Linked DNA regions of Oreochromis niloticus. The protein of the gene in region 1 purifies or fractionates together with the protein of each later gene. This does not show direct contact. Links are inferred from orthologs where the notes say so. Each region holds a gene or a part of one and is shown on either strand. Other genes may lie near its edges.

The links. Proteins that work in one complex are often made in the same cells at the same time.
Region 2: the proteins of h2ax (region 1) and phf14 purify together in Homo sapiens (affinity purification with mass spectrometry; 3 studies listed by BioGRID and IntAct, counting the BioPlex papers as one, with this or other methods). This does not show direct contact. The link is inferred for Oreochromis niloticus from reciprocal best matches to the Homo sapiens genes H2AX and PHF14.

What each region holds. Positions count from the first base shown.
Region 1 is NC_031975.2:11,780,325-11,785,635, forward strand, and holds h2ax (histone H2AX), read right to left. Parts: upstream 1,154-5,311; 5' UTR 1,077-1,153; coding exon 648-1,076; 3' UTR 503-647; downstream 1-502. UniProt on the Homo sapiens protein: Variant histone H2A which replaces conventional H2A in a subset of nucleosomes. Nucleosomes wrap and compact DNA into chromatin, limiting DNA accessibility to the cellular machineries which require DNA as a template.
Region 2 is NC_031985.2:37,419,618-37,427,553, reverse strand, and holds the start of phf14 (PHD finger protein 14), read right to left. Parts: upstream 3,019-7,936; 5' UTR 2,912-3,018; intron 2,644-2,911; 5' UTR 2,550-2,643; coding exon 2,543-2,549; intron 1-2,542. UniProt on the Homo sapiens protein: Histone-binding protein. Binds preferentially to unmodified histone H3 but can also bind to a lesser extent to histone H3 trimethylated at 'Lys-9' (H3K9me3) as well as to histone H3 monomethylated at 'Lys-27' (H3K27ac) and trimethylated at 'Lys-27' (H3K27me3).

The sequences.
Region 1 (5,311 bases):
AACCCTTCAAAATGGATAGAAATTTAAAACTGCTCCGTGCACATGAACACTTTGAGAGCCGAAACTCAGATTAGGTTGAGTTATTTGTAGCATATTATGCTTTAGATGGCAATGTGCAATAGGCCTACATAGACCATTATTTCAGCCACAGATGCACACTGAAGAGCCATTTCTGCCAAACCAAAAGTAATTTAATCAGCTACCACAAAAGCTGCACAGTCATGCTACTAATAAGGTGAAATGCAACCGGTGTTGCAGGCTCTGGCCCATGTACCTGGGTTAAATGTTGATAAGTGGAGGCCATTTTTGTTTTTGTTTTTTAACCCCGATCATGAAACAAAGCCCTGGTAAATGGCTAGTGTTGTACTACGACTCTCGAGCTCACGGTATAATCGGTTAGAGTACACCAGTCTGATAAATTCAGCTCAACCGGTCAGGCTAGCAAGTCTCAACAAAACTAGCAAGTAGCATCAATTAGCCTTAAATCAGCAGAATACAACAGTTCTTACAAAACAGGCTTTTTATTAAATAAAAATCATGCGAAAAGGGGATGTAAGACAGCAATAATCAGGAAAAGTTGCTCTTTCAATTAGGAGTGAGTGGCCCTTAAAAGGACCGTTGGGTGTTAAGAGTTATTAGCTAGCAAGCTAATACTCCTGTGACTGAGAGGAGGCCTTCTTTCCCGCTTTGCCGGAGCTCGGTGCAGACTGGCCGGTCTTCTTGGGCAGCAGGACGGCCTGGATGTTGGGCAGGACGCCTCCCTGTGCGATGGTCACGCCACCGAGGAGTTTGTTCAGCTCCTCGTCGTTGCGTACAGCCAGCTGAAGATGGCGAGGGATGATACGAGTCTTCTTGTTGTCTCTGGCGGCATTGCCGGCCAACTCCAGGATCTCAGCGGTGAGGTACTCCAGGACGGCGGCCAGGTAAACTGGGGCCCCGGCGCCAACTCTCTCTGCGTAGTTTCCCTTGCGGAGAAGACGGTGGACACGGCCGACGGGGAACTGCAGACCGGCGCGAGAGCTGCGGGTCTTAGCCTTGGCACGGGCCTTTGCTCCAGTTTTACCTCTTCCAGACATTGTTGGTTACTCAAATAGTTCTTCTGAATCGAAGCACTGCAGTCGCTGGTTTGCTAGTGATGAAAAAATCGCTTCACAGCCTACATATAAACCTCATGCTTTGTCCCGCCCTAACCTGCCATTGGGTTTTGGAACAAAAGTACTATTGTCTGATTGGCCCTGAGAGGAACATCGTGAGAGGAAATTAATGACTATTGGTGGATCTCTCCTGGTTTGTGAACAATCACGATGGAGCCTAAAAGGAAGAAGCACGATCGATTGGCTGTTACTGTTACTGCTTTCTGTCAGTGGGTCAAAAGTAAAAAAGGAGGAGCCAGAAAGCCAATCGACTAGCTTCCCTCCAACTTTAAATTTTTTGGCGCGCAGACCAACTCTGCGGTAAAAGTTAAATGGAACATTTAACCCCCCTTATGTATGTGTATTGGAAGCCAAGCTTCGTACACGCTGACCAGTGCAAAAACCTGGACGAAATGTTGACAGCGTGGCAAATAACATCGAGGATCTGTGTGCCAAAATGATTAAACTTTACACTAAAATATAAAGCTGTTTATAACTAATAATTTAACTGAAGTTTTAAAAAAAAAGGAAAGAAATCCAACATTATTGTGTACAAACAGGAAATGTTTTTAGATTTACTCATTGGTCAAATGTGCCCACCCGTCCATAGATGTAATGGGCATACATACACATTTATTTCGACTAGTGTGTCTACATAAGTGAGTTTCATGTAGACCTTTTTGTATTCCAATTGTAATACCTTTTCAGAATTCCTTAAATATTTCTCCTAACAAGTATCTTATTAATAAATAAATACATCTAATACTAAACAAAAGCCAAATATTTTTAACAATAAAAACTAAAGTGAAAACCAAACTGCTTCAAAAAGAAGCTACCCTTGAAAGAAAAAAAATGCTGTAAAGGTGCTCTCATCTCATGACCATCAGTATGGAGAGGCCTGCAAGACTGTGGAAAACTACAGGACACCATCCCCCACTGCATCCAAACAAAGACCTATTGACCTGAATGCCTTCTACTGCAGGTCTGAAAGGAATTCCTTTGTGCTCTTCTCAAACTTAACAACAGCAGTCCCCATCTTTATCATCCTCAGATATTTAAACTAAGAACAAGTTTAATGGCCATACAGTATGTGAGTGCCTTACTCTGTACTATGTGTCCCGTGTATAATTTGGTTTATATGCCATGAATGTATCTGGTCTGTCCTTTTTTAGCTAATCACAGCCGGAACCACATTTCTTTTGTGCACATTTTCAAGTAAATTTGATTTTGATGAAAACATAACTGAGAGCCAGCAAGCAGCATTAGCAGACTAAACAATTACTTAGTGCCCCCAAGCTAGCAGACAACCCCCACCAAGACCGCATGAAATGCCACACAAGACAGGTTAATCGATGTATTTTTGTGTGTGAAATATCAATAGTAATTGTACAAGTGAAAGTTACATATTGTTACTATTTTATTAGCAGACTGGTGCCTTAATGCCACTGGTTTAATCATTTTCACTGTTGGAGCTGGGATCATGTTCAAAACACTGTGTTTCAAAGTAGGTCAAAGTGCCACAAAAACATACTAGGTATTTATCATTAACATTCACTTACAATGACATCTTTCAGTTCACTGAAAGTGTAGCGTAGCTGTGCAGACACCACAGGCATTATTTTTGGTAACCTGCTGTTAGAAACTGACTAGGAGGATAAGTATCATGAGGGTTATGTTCAATTCTTTCTGGCTTTGTGTAGTCCCAGTGCCCTAATGGATAAGGCACTGGCCTCCTAAGCCAGGGATTGTGGGTTTGAGTCTCATCTGGGGTGTGTATGAACAGAGTGGAGCTGTGGATTGAAACCATCCCCTGCTATGTCTTTTAGAGAACTGGATCCTTTGAAATGTCATCCAAGAACAGGCTACTCCCCAAAGACGCAGAGAAGCAACCCTCTTGCCCGCCAAAAAAGACCCCAATGGATACAAGGACAAGCACCCCTGCCGACTGGTTCAATCCCTGGCTGCTCCAGTCTTCTTGTCAAATATCCTTGGGTAAGATACTAACTCCAAGTTGTTCTCCGATGTATTCATATGTGTCTAAATGTTAGATAGAAAGCACTTAAGCATAGGAAAAAAGTAAATGGGTGAATGATGCAGGTTTAATTAAGAGCTTTGTTTGCAAAAACAGTTTTGTTTTTCTAAAAATCCACTGATTGCTGGTTTATTTGAGTTCTTTCCAGCAATCTAGTTAGCCATGACAGTGGTTTTGGTAGATGTATAATTTAAAAGCATTAGTTCAAGCACAGACAATATTTAGTTAACATTGGCGGTGCTGAGATGAGATATTGGTGATGGGTTTAGTTGGAGGTTATGGCCTCAAAATCAAATTCTGCTCAAGTTGTCCTAAAATCTTGGGCCCATTCTGGTGTTGCTAGTCAGCGAAGACAATGAAATGCAGGGAAGAGCCACAAAGAAGCAAACTTATTAGCACATGTAAGTTAACTGCAGGTACAGGAAGTTACGTTCTTTTAATGTTACACTGTAGCCCATGCGCCTTTACAGACATGCAAGTGCATCATAAAAAGGAACCTCTTATGGTTTATTGAAAATACAATGAACGGACTCAGGTACAAAGATGATGCTTAAAAAATAATTTATTTGCAATAAATTAAATATTTAAAATATAACAGAAGTCATCGATTTTGCAGCCACTTTTCGTTTCACAATACAGCCACAAATCTTTATTCATAACGTTTGCTTTATGTGCCTTTAGATGAATTGTTTTGTAAAGCCCATGCCCCTCGACAACAGAGCCTCCACCTCCACCCCTTTCAAAATCCTTTTATTAAAAAAAGAATTATAATTAAAAAAACCAACCATTTATTAAGTTTGTTTTTTCTGAAGTCTCATAGTTAATGCAGATTATTTTCATGTTTTCAGACAAGGCTCAATTGGCCCTAAAACATATGTACAACTTCACATACTGGATCTATTTGCCTTCAAAGTATGCAAACGCTTTCTTAAAACCTGTGGCTGCTAGTAGATTTCATTAAAACCCTGAGTACCGTATTTCAACTCTACCCCACACCGAGTCCTCTTGCTTTGCCTGAGCACAGCATTAGTGAACACTGAGACACACCAATCTCCTTTTTTTAAATATAAACTGCAGAAATAGTTTAGTGTGGCTTACATATATCTAAAAAATATTACATTATAATAACAATCCCAAATGTTCACACAGGAAATGCTTTACTATATTAGTTCATTATTAGGAACTAATCACATGTCAGCATTCTCTGCAAACGATTTCACCCGCAACCCTTTTGAGGCATTTAACACAACATGTCCTGCACAGTAATGATCGCTATTACAACAATGAAGTCTGTAGAAGCACGAGAAGAGGAGAGCACGCCTGATCGCGTTGCTGTTTTCCCCCCGACAGAAGACTGTGAGGCTTTCAAAAGTTTAAAAATCACCTTCTGGCTTGATAAATAAGGTGGCTGGTTAGATTTTCAAAAGTAAAGTGAAGATATGATACTCCAGAGAAAGCACCTTTGTAAAAATAAAAGTACAATATGATCTTTTCGGGTTTTTATATAAGATACAACATTTAACATTATTCTAAAGCCAATGTCGAAGCAATCATGAATGGACATTATAGCTAGATCAAGACAACTTACTTAAACTATGTGTTGAAAATTACATTTGTATAGAAAACACACCTTAATGTCTCTATATTATAGTGTAACGCAGCTATGATGACTAGTTGTAGGGGTTCAAATAAATAGCACTTGTTTAGTGAGTCCAACATATTAATAAATTACACTTTAACAACCAGCACATTTTTTACATGTGCTGTTAAAAAAAATAAAAAGTCAAAAGTGCAACCAAGAGCATAGTGGCATTTTACATCATTAAAATGTTTTGGAGCGTTTTCACCACCAGTGCCAGTCCAACAAGCCCAGAAGCATGGAACATTTCTTTGTAGCTATTCCCCTCTCCTCCACCGAGCAGCAGATTTCTCCTCAAATTTAACAACAATTCAGAGTCAGCGATGTGATTAAATGAGACTTCTGTCCTGAAAGTGCAATCATTTCTATCCAGAGGGGAGCTCTCCCAGAGGTATCCTCCTTTAAAGCTGTGCAGTTGACAACCCACCTGGGGGCGCTCAGCCTGTCAAAGACCGTGTTGAAGTGTAGTGATAACAGAGAACGCTCTCAGGATGACTCGTGTCCATG
Region 2 (7,936 bases), on another chromosome or scaffold:
AAATTGTTTTTACTTTATTGCCTAATGATCATTACAAAGCATAAAAGTGATAATATTTTATTTGATAGTATTTCAAATAAAATTGGGCTACGAAAAGGAGATGCTGGCAGGTCGTTATGTGCCCATATGTAAAGTGCAGCGTTCTGTACTGCTGACCATAATGTTTTATTACTGCGATTACAGCATGCTGTAGGTATTAAAGGTATGCTGAAGTGGTTTGAAACATGGAGAGTCCTCTTCACACACTAAGATTAATTATGGAGTTCCATAAGGTTCTGTGCTAGCACTAGGGCTGCTCGATTATGGCAAAAATGATAATCACGATTATTTTCACTGAAATTGAGATCTCGATTATTTGACGATATTTATTTAACAATAACAATGTATTGAATAATGACTTTAAAGATGTCAAAAAATAATATAAAATAGTGTGCAAATAATGATTACAGTGGAAATGTTTGCAATATAAAAAATAAATGAAAAATGTAAACATCTATGTTTAGTGAACTTCAAAATACTGCACAATATTTGATCCACGTCTGACTCCGCGAACACATAATGTTTCCACACCACTGAAGTCGTTTTATCTCTCTTTTCAACCAGCGGCATTCTTTCTTCAGCAGCCATTATCCTCTCCTCTACAAATAACTTCTGCTTAGCTTTCCGAGCTTTCCGAGCAACCCTCGGGTCCTCTTAATTGTTGTGACGCGTGTTCGAAACGCAGAGAGGTGCGCTCGATTTGCTACACGGAGCAGAGCGAGAGTAAAGCACGAGGGAGGTGCTAATAATCGGCTTAGTCATTTTTAATGATCGTTGAAAGCCCAGATCGTAATCTAGATTAAAATTCGATTAATTGAGCAGCCCTAGCTAGCACCAATTATTTTTACATTATACATCCTTTCCTTAGGCTGTATCATTAGAAGGCACAGAATACATTGTTGTTGCTATACAGGTGATGCTCAACTTTATCTATCCAAAACAGATAACACACACTATTTAGTTAAACTGCAGGAATGTCTCAAAGGTGGGTAGATGACCTCTAATTTTCTGCTTCTAAATTTAGATTAAAAATTAGGTTATTGTGCTCGGCCATAAAAAAGTCTTACAAATATGGAATCTAGCCTCTGGATGCCACTACCTTGACCTCCAGTAGCACTGTGAGGAGTCTTTGAGTTGTTTTTGACCAGGATATGGCCTTCAGTGCACATATTAAACAAATATGTAGGACTGTTTTCTTCTGCACAATCTCTCTAAAATTAGAAACGCCCTCTCTCAGAGTGATGCTGGAAAACTAGTTCATACATTTCTTGCTTCCAAGCTGGACTATTATTTTAAAAAAATGCCTAAAAACTCACTGAAAAGCCTTCAGTTGATCCAAAATGCTGCAGCAAGAGTACTGACGGGCACTTGAAAGAGAGAGCGCATATTTCTCTATATCGGCTTATCTTTACTGGCTGCCTGTCTGTGACTGTCTGACAATCCAGGTTCAAATTTAACGTTCTTCTCATCACATACAAGGTCTTGAATAATCAGGCCCCATCTTATCTTAAAGACCCCACAGTACTGCATCACCCTAATAGAGCACTTCGCTGGAACACAACGTAGAGTATGACAATGGAACACTGTGAACTATGGGTTATTCCCTGAATTGAGGGGAAAAAAAGAGGAAAAAAAAAATGGGGTAGACTTAAGTGTCCATAAAGGGCTGAAAAATGTCAATGAGAGAGCCACTGACAATTTGTCAGTAAGACAGTTCCAGGCTGTGAAGGCCTATACTGTTTTCTGCAACCAAGTCTATGCTTTTCATACAGAATCTTTTTCTTGCCCCTCACATTCCTGGTGAACTCCAGAACAGGAGAAGCAGTTTAATCCCACTTGCCAATCAATCAGGCCTACAGGCCTACATGCTGCTGAGTTTTGGAGAACTCCACGAAACTATGTTTGAAAGGATAGGATAGGTGTTTTATGGTTGAAAACTCCTAGCCATAGGAAAAAACATATACCTATAAAATACCAAAGGTACTGCAGTGCCATAGGTAGGTTGTGTACGACAATACAAAGTTGCCTCAATTTTATAATGATGGTCTAGTTCACCTGTGCGGACTGCACCTCATATTGACAGCGAGTTAAACTTAAAGACATTTAAAGCAAACTCAATTTGTGCTTTATGCAAGTCAATCTATGCTGCTGCAAAAAAATATTCAGCACCCAAACGTCCAATTACTTGTGAGCCCTTAACGTTCGGGTATCCTGTATCAAAAGGGTAGTTATCTCCCAAACGCGTCTTTAAATAGTGACGTAAACCTATGTATTATTTTCCCTTCAACACCACACGAAACACGACGTTAATCAGCTGCAGACACTAGGTTTTCTGATGTTGGGATTTGTACAGCTCTTAGCTACGCAACTTGCCTATTAGCACGCTGTTAGCAAACAAATAGCACCGCTGCGGTTTTGTTTTCACGAACGATACATGTTTGTTTTTCTTTTTAAATGAAGAATCTACGATAGTCGTCTAAAACAGCCTAAGAGGTACACTTACCAGACATTTTGGTCCGTCAAGCACCATAGCTAATCGTGCTGAGCATGTTAGCTGTATTTAAATTATGACGTTCTGATTGAATCCCTGATGCTCGTGATGCTCTTAGTATACATATAGGGACACAATTAAAAGCATCGAAAAGTAAGATCCAAGTAAATGTATTAACATCAGACCAAGTTAATGCAAAACTGCACGTGAAACACAACAGCATTAGCATTTAGCATACCAGCAACATCACTACTAGTCACAAAGTACAGCCGGGCTAGCTAACTAGCAACAGTTCGAGGGAACAAATAATTGTTAATTGTGCCAGACGGCAAATACAATTTGACTTTATATACATATAAATGACGACGTGGAAGGACTCACTCTGTACTTCACGTTCACTACGACAGGTCTATTAGAAGCATGGTATATGGACAATGGAGAACACCGTGGTGACGTACCGACGGTTGCATATTGTTGCTATGAGGACAGTTACGTAGTACAATATGACAGTCACGTGAGAGCTAGTGAATCAAAATAATAATATCTGAGTTTATAAACTTTATTTTCTTAATGATAACATTAATTGTGTATAGAGTGCATGTAGGCCTACTATAAAACCAATGCTAAGTTTGGAACCGTAGAAAATATTAATACAGCCCCCACTTACTGTATACAAGTTTTTATCATAAACTATCCAATTTAGGGGATTTCTATCTATTTATGTATTGTTAAAGAATAATTACTAATTTTTCATTTAGTCTTCCAATAGAATAACATAACTTTTTTTTCCCCAAAAGTTGGAAAATCCCTGTTACAACAGCTAAAACCAATCAATAGCTTGAAATTTGTATGTAGCACAACAAAATTTCCATAAGGTAAAAACTTCATAACACAAAAGAACTCAGTTAAATAGAGAGAAAATAAAGGTTAGTGTGTAAAAAGCTAACTATAAAAAAAAATAAATGAGATAAAATGTTTATGCACATCAGAGATGGTTATGGAGAACTTTTCTAAAAATGTACCTATTTGAGCTGGAATTGATGTCAACTACACTGAACATTCTTGGGGATGGTAAAAGTTTAAAATTCCATTTTAAAATCTATTTATGAACATTCTCACATTATGGTGGAATAACAATACTTTTCAGGTTTGAACAATCAGGTTGGGTGCACTGTATCAATATGAAAAAGGTGGACAAATAAATTATCCACATATATTTTTCAAAGATTCAAAATTACACTTAAATTGTTAAGCATTTTTAATTTAAAGTTATAGGATTCAAAATGTATTGTTAATTAATTGTTTTTTAATTGTATCATTGCTCATGTCAGATGTTTGGAATTTTTTTTTTTTGCTTATTTTTGATAAAAAATAATTTAACAGAGAATCTAATGCTGACAATTAACTTACTTAATTTAAAACAGATGGGGGGGGGGATGAAAAATTATGTTTTCTAATGAAAAATTGTGAACGATGCTGCAAAAGAATGTAGTTGTATAAATGTATACTTTGACTCATTTTCAAAATCAACTTTGTTTCTGTTGTCCTCTTTTGACTTTGTCAGTTTCGCAAATAAGAGATGATTAAAATAAATGAACCTAGATTGATCCTGATGCATGTAAAGGGGAAGACGGATGGGACAGGAAAGCAAAAGGGATGATTACAGCTGTCCTTTCTTGATGAAAAATGGCCCTGAATTATGCTAGAAAGAGGCCGTTTTTATCAGCTTGTATCAAAATACTGAGGATATCACAGTAGTGATCACTGTCATCATCACTATCAGCATTTTCATCCTTTTCTCTCCTGCTCTGCTTTGATGAACATGGAGCCTGTTTGCAGCTGATAGTGTTGAAGGGAATGTGTTGAGTACTTTGTCTGACATTGAAATCAGTGGGATAATGATCGTCAGGCCAGGTAGAAGTATAACAGCCACTTCATTGCACCTGTTTTTCAAGCAGAAAAAAAGGGTTTATGCCTATAGTCCTTATGTACTAGTATAGTAAAATCCTCAAAACACTCCCCAAACACAAAAGGAAATCAGAAAAAAAGTTTTCAGAAGTTGAGACCAAGAGAAAGTGAGGTGAGGATGGTCTCTCTCCAGCGCATCACATATGGAAGTTTAGGCATTTAAATGCACTGTGTTTAACTTTTGTGTCATTTTTCAAAATGCAATCCAACATGACATTGTCATATGCACTGGATTCCTCAGTTGGAGCCTTAAACAGGCTGCCTTCTGCTAAATGGGTCAAACTGGGCAGAAACTATACAAACACATAACATCCTTATAGAATATGATGTAACACTATAGATCAACTTACCTCAGAATATATAAAGCATATAAACAATTACAGCAATATGATGCAACAAACACAGCAGTGCTACTAATCCAAAATACTCAAAGCTTCATAGAACTGAAACAAACATTTATTTTTAGCTCCATTCTGCTGCTGATACATACTTCAGGTTTCTGAATATTAAACTTGTTGCTGCCTTTCATAGTGTGTAACTTGAAGGCCCTGAGTACTTTCTCCCACACTGAAAACACTGGAATGATAAAATTATTTGAACATTACCTAATAAGACTGATTCAGGACAGACAATTAGTTATTTTAAACTTTTCTAGCAGTCCTTCACAAACAGGGAACAGTCTGTCTATTCTCTCCATCTGTCAGCTGCTGCTGGCTCTTCCTCCTCCTCTTCCTTACACACTGCTGAGTTTGTCATGGTGGATCATCAGGGGTGCAAAGCCTCACAGATGATGTGCAGCAGTGGGTCCCTCAGTCTGTCCTCACTCTGGACACTTGCAGTCGTCACACATGGAAGTCAAATTTGTGATGAGCTGCAGGATTCAAACACAAGTGTAACTTATAAATACATGTTCATACTTTTATTCCACAATCAGAGAGAAAGAAAAAGAGAGAGAGTGCAGGACAGACAGACAGGTGACAGTCTCAGGTGTACACACTGCTACAAAACAGCACAAGAGGAGGAGGATTTAGTGTTTGTGTTATTACGAGTGCTAAACAAGAAGAGCTCCCAGATGCTACAGTGGACACATGTGTGACTGCTGTGATTAAAGCATCTTTCTTTCAGCTTAACGAGTGAACCGTCAGCTCGTTCAAACACACGTTAAAGTCCGTTTGGCTCGACACCACCGAACAGAGGCAGCAATATAACATAGCTAACATTAACAGTGCAGTGAATCCTGCTTGTGCCGTCATATTCAGGACTGCAAACCGAGCAGCATCACTGACTTTCAGCTTGTTGTGTTTGTGGATATATGACTGACTTTAATTATCCATGAAATTATCACATTCTCTGTAAGATTAAGGTCAACTATATATGTATGTATATATATATTGAAGTAGAGGCTTTAAAACCAAGTTAACACTGAAAGTACTAACATCGCTAATGTCACATAACTTTGCCGACATGTGGCCAACAGTAATGTTTTAATGTTCTTCATTATTAAACATTCGCACATAAATGACATCATATTCAGTACTTACTTTTGACAGTTCACTCTTCGGCAGCTCCCTTCTGCCGTCTGCTGTATTTTGCGGCAAAATTATCCACACCCACCACCGCGCTATGAATTGTGGGATATATGGGACCACGAAGCGTGCACCACGCTTGATATTTGGGGAAATCGACGGTGCATTTGGAGTATGCATTTGAAGTACACTTTGGGCGTTTCTCAATATGCGTACTTGTGCGTACTTGCGTTCTCGTGTACTCGTGATACGTCATCAGTCGGAGACCAAGTACTGTTCCAATTCGAAGCACGCATCAAGCTGAGAACGCGAAAAAGTCCCGGATGTGTTCTCGATCCGCCCATTTTATCGAGCATGCATCGGTGTGGACTTGGTACAGCTAAATATCCCAGAATGCATTTCGTCCAAAACTCAACAGCGGACTGCCGGCACATCGTTTTCAACCCCCCCCCCCCCCCCCCCCCCCCCCCCGCTCGCGGTCTTCTCACTACTCAGGTTAAAGAAACCCCAGCAGCTGTCTATAGTATTGAGTGTCCACTAAAATAGAAATAAAAGCGTTCTAACATCTCACCTGCTTGTTTTTATTAAGGTATGTACACGTATGTACATGTACACTATTTTTATTAATAGAGGTTTCACTACTGAGGTTAAAAATGATATATAAGTCACTTAGATCACTTCTAAATGTTAATGTTTGGTTTATTTCAGTGTTTTATTTGTTCCTGAGTAAACCGGTTTGGCTGTGATTACAGTTAAGCTTCATAACATGTTACTCACAGTTAAATTAAGAGGGGACGGCAGTAAAAACTCCGGACCTGTGACATCATCACGTACGCAGGTGTTCCAATTGTACATATCGCGAGTCCGTGCTCGCGTTCTCGGCGGGTACGTACTCCCGTGCATTCTTGGCGAGTATGTACTCACCGAGAACGCGAGTACGTACTCGCGTACTTGAGAATTGAGAAACGGCCTTTGTATTGGGACAGCCGTCGTCGCGTGGCGGTGACGTAATCGCACTCAAAATGCGTACTTCAAGCGTGCGGTCTCTTAATTGGGACACAGCCTGAATTTTTCTACCGTTTCCCTGTGTTCCTTGTTATCCGCCTCTGGGTGGAGTCCTCATTATTCCACCTGCTCAGCTCACCTGATGGAGATCTGAGGCAATCAGGAAGGCAGTACTTAAGACCAGAGTCAGCATCTCTTTGCTGCCAGTTTGTGTCAGTAACAGTCTGCAGTGCTGCATGCTTGGTGTTTCTGTGTTGTACTTGGTGCCTTGTTTTCCACTAACTCATCTTGCAGGACGCTCACTTGGCCATTACCCCTCCCTCCAGAGTCATACCTGCCAAGTAAGACGCAAACCCAATCATTTTCATGTTACCAGTCTTTGCCTCCCCTGTTCCCTTTCTAACCACAGTCTCCCTCTGTCCACAGTTTCACCATGTCAGACTCCCTGTTAAGCATTCCTCCCATTGTTTACATGTGTGCTTAGGAATAAAGCTTGTGAGGAAAACCTTAATGCTGTTTCCAGTCTTTGAATCTGTGTTGGGTCCGTGTCCACGTACTAGCCTGCGGGGCCCCATGACATCTGATAAATTCACTCAGCCAACAATACACACAGAAAAATTAATGTAATAGTTTAGAAACCACAGTTATCTCATTAGACACAGAGAACTGCATTCCAACGCAATTTGTGCTTCATTCAGTGGTTGTAGTTCAATAAGGCAAGGTCACTTGGAAGAGCTGAACATGATTTATTGTGATAGGGAAATTAATGTATTTGGCTATTAGACTCTGCTGACCCAGCATAGTAGTGTTTAGACCCCCTCAGAGTCTAAACACTGGTGGTGGCGAAGATGAAGGCTGAGACTTGAATGCTCTATTCTGGCTGAGGTGTCTGAGGTGGAGATGGAGA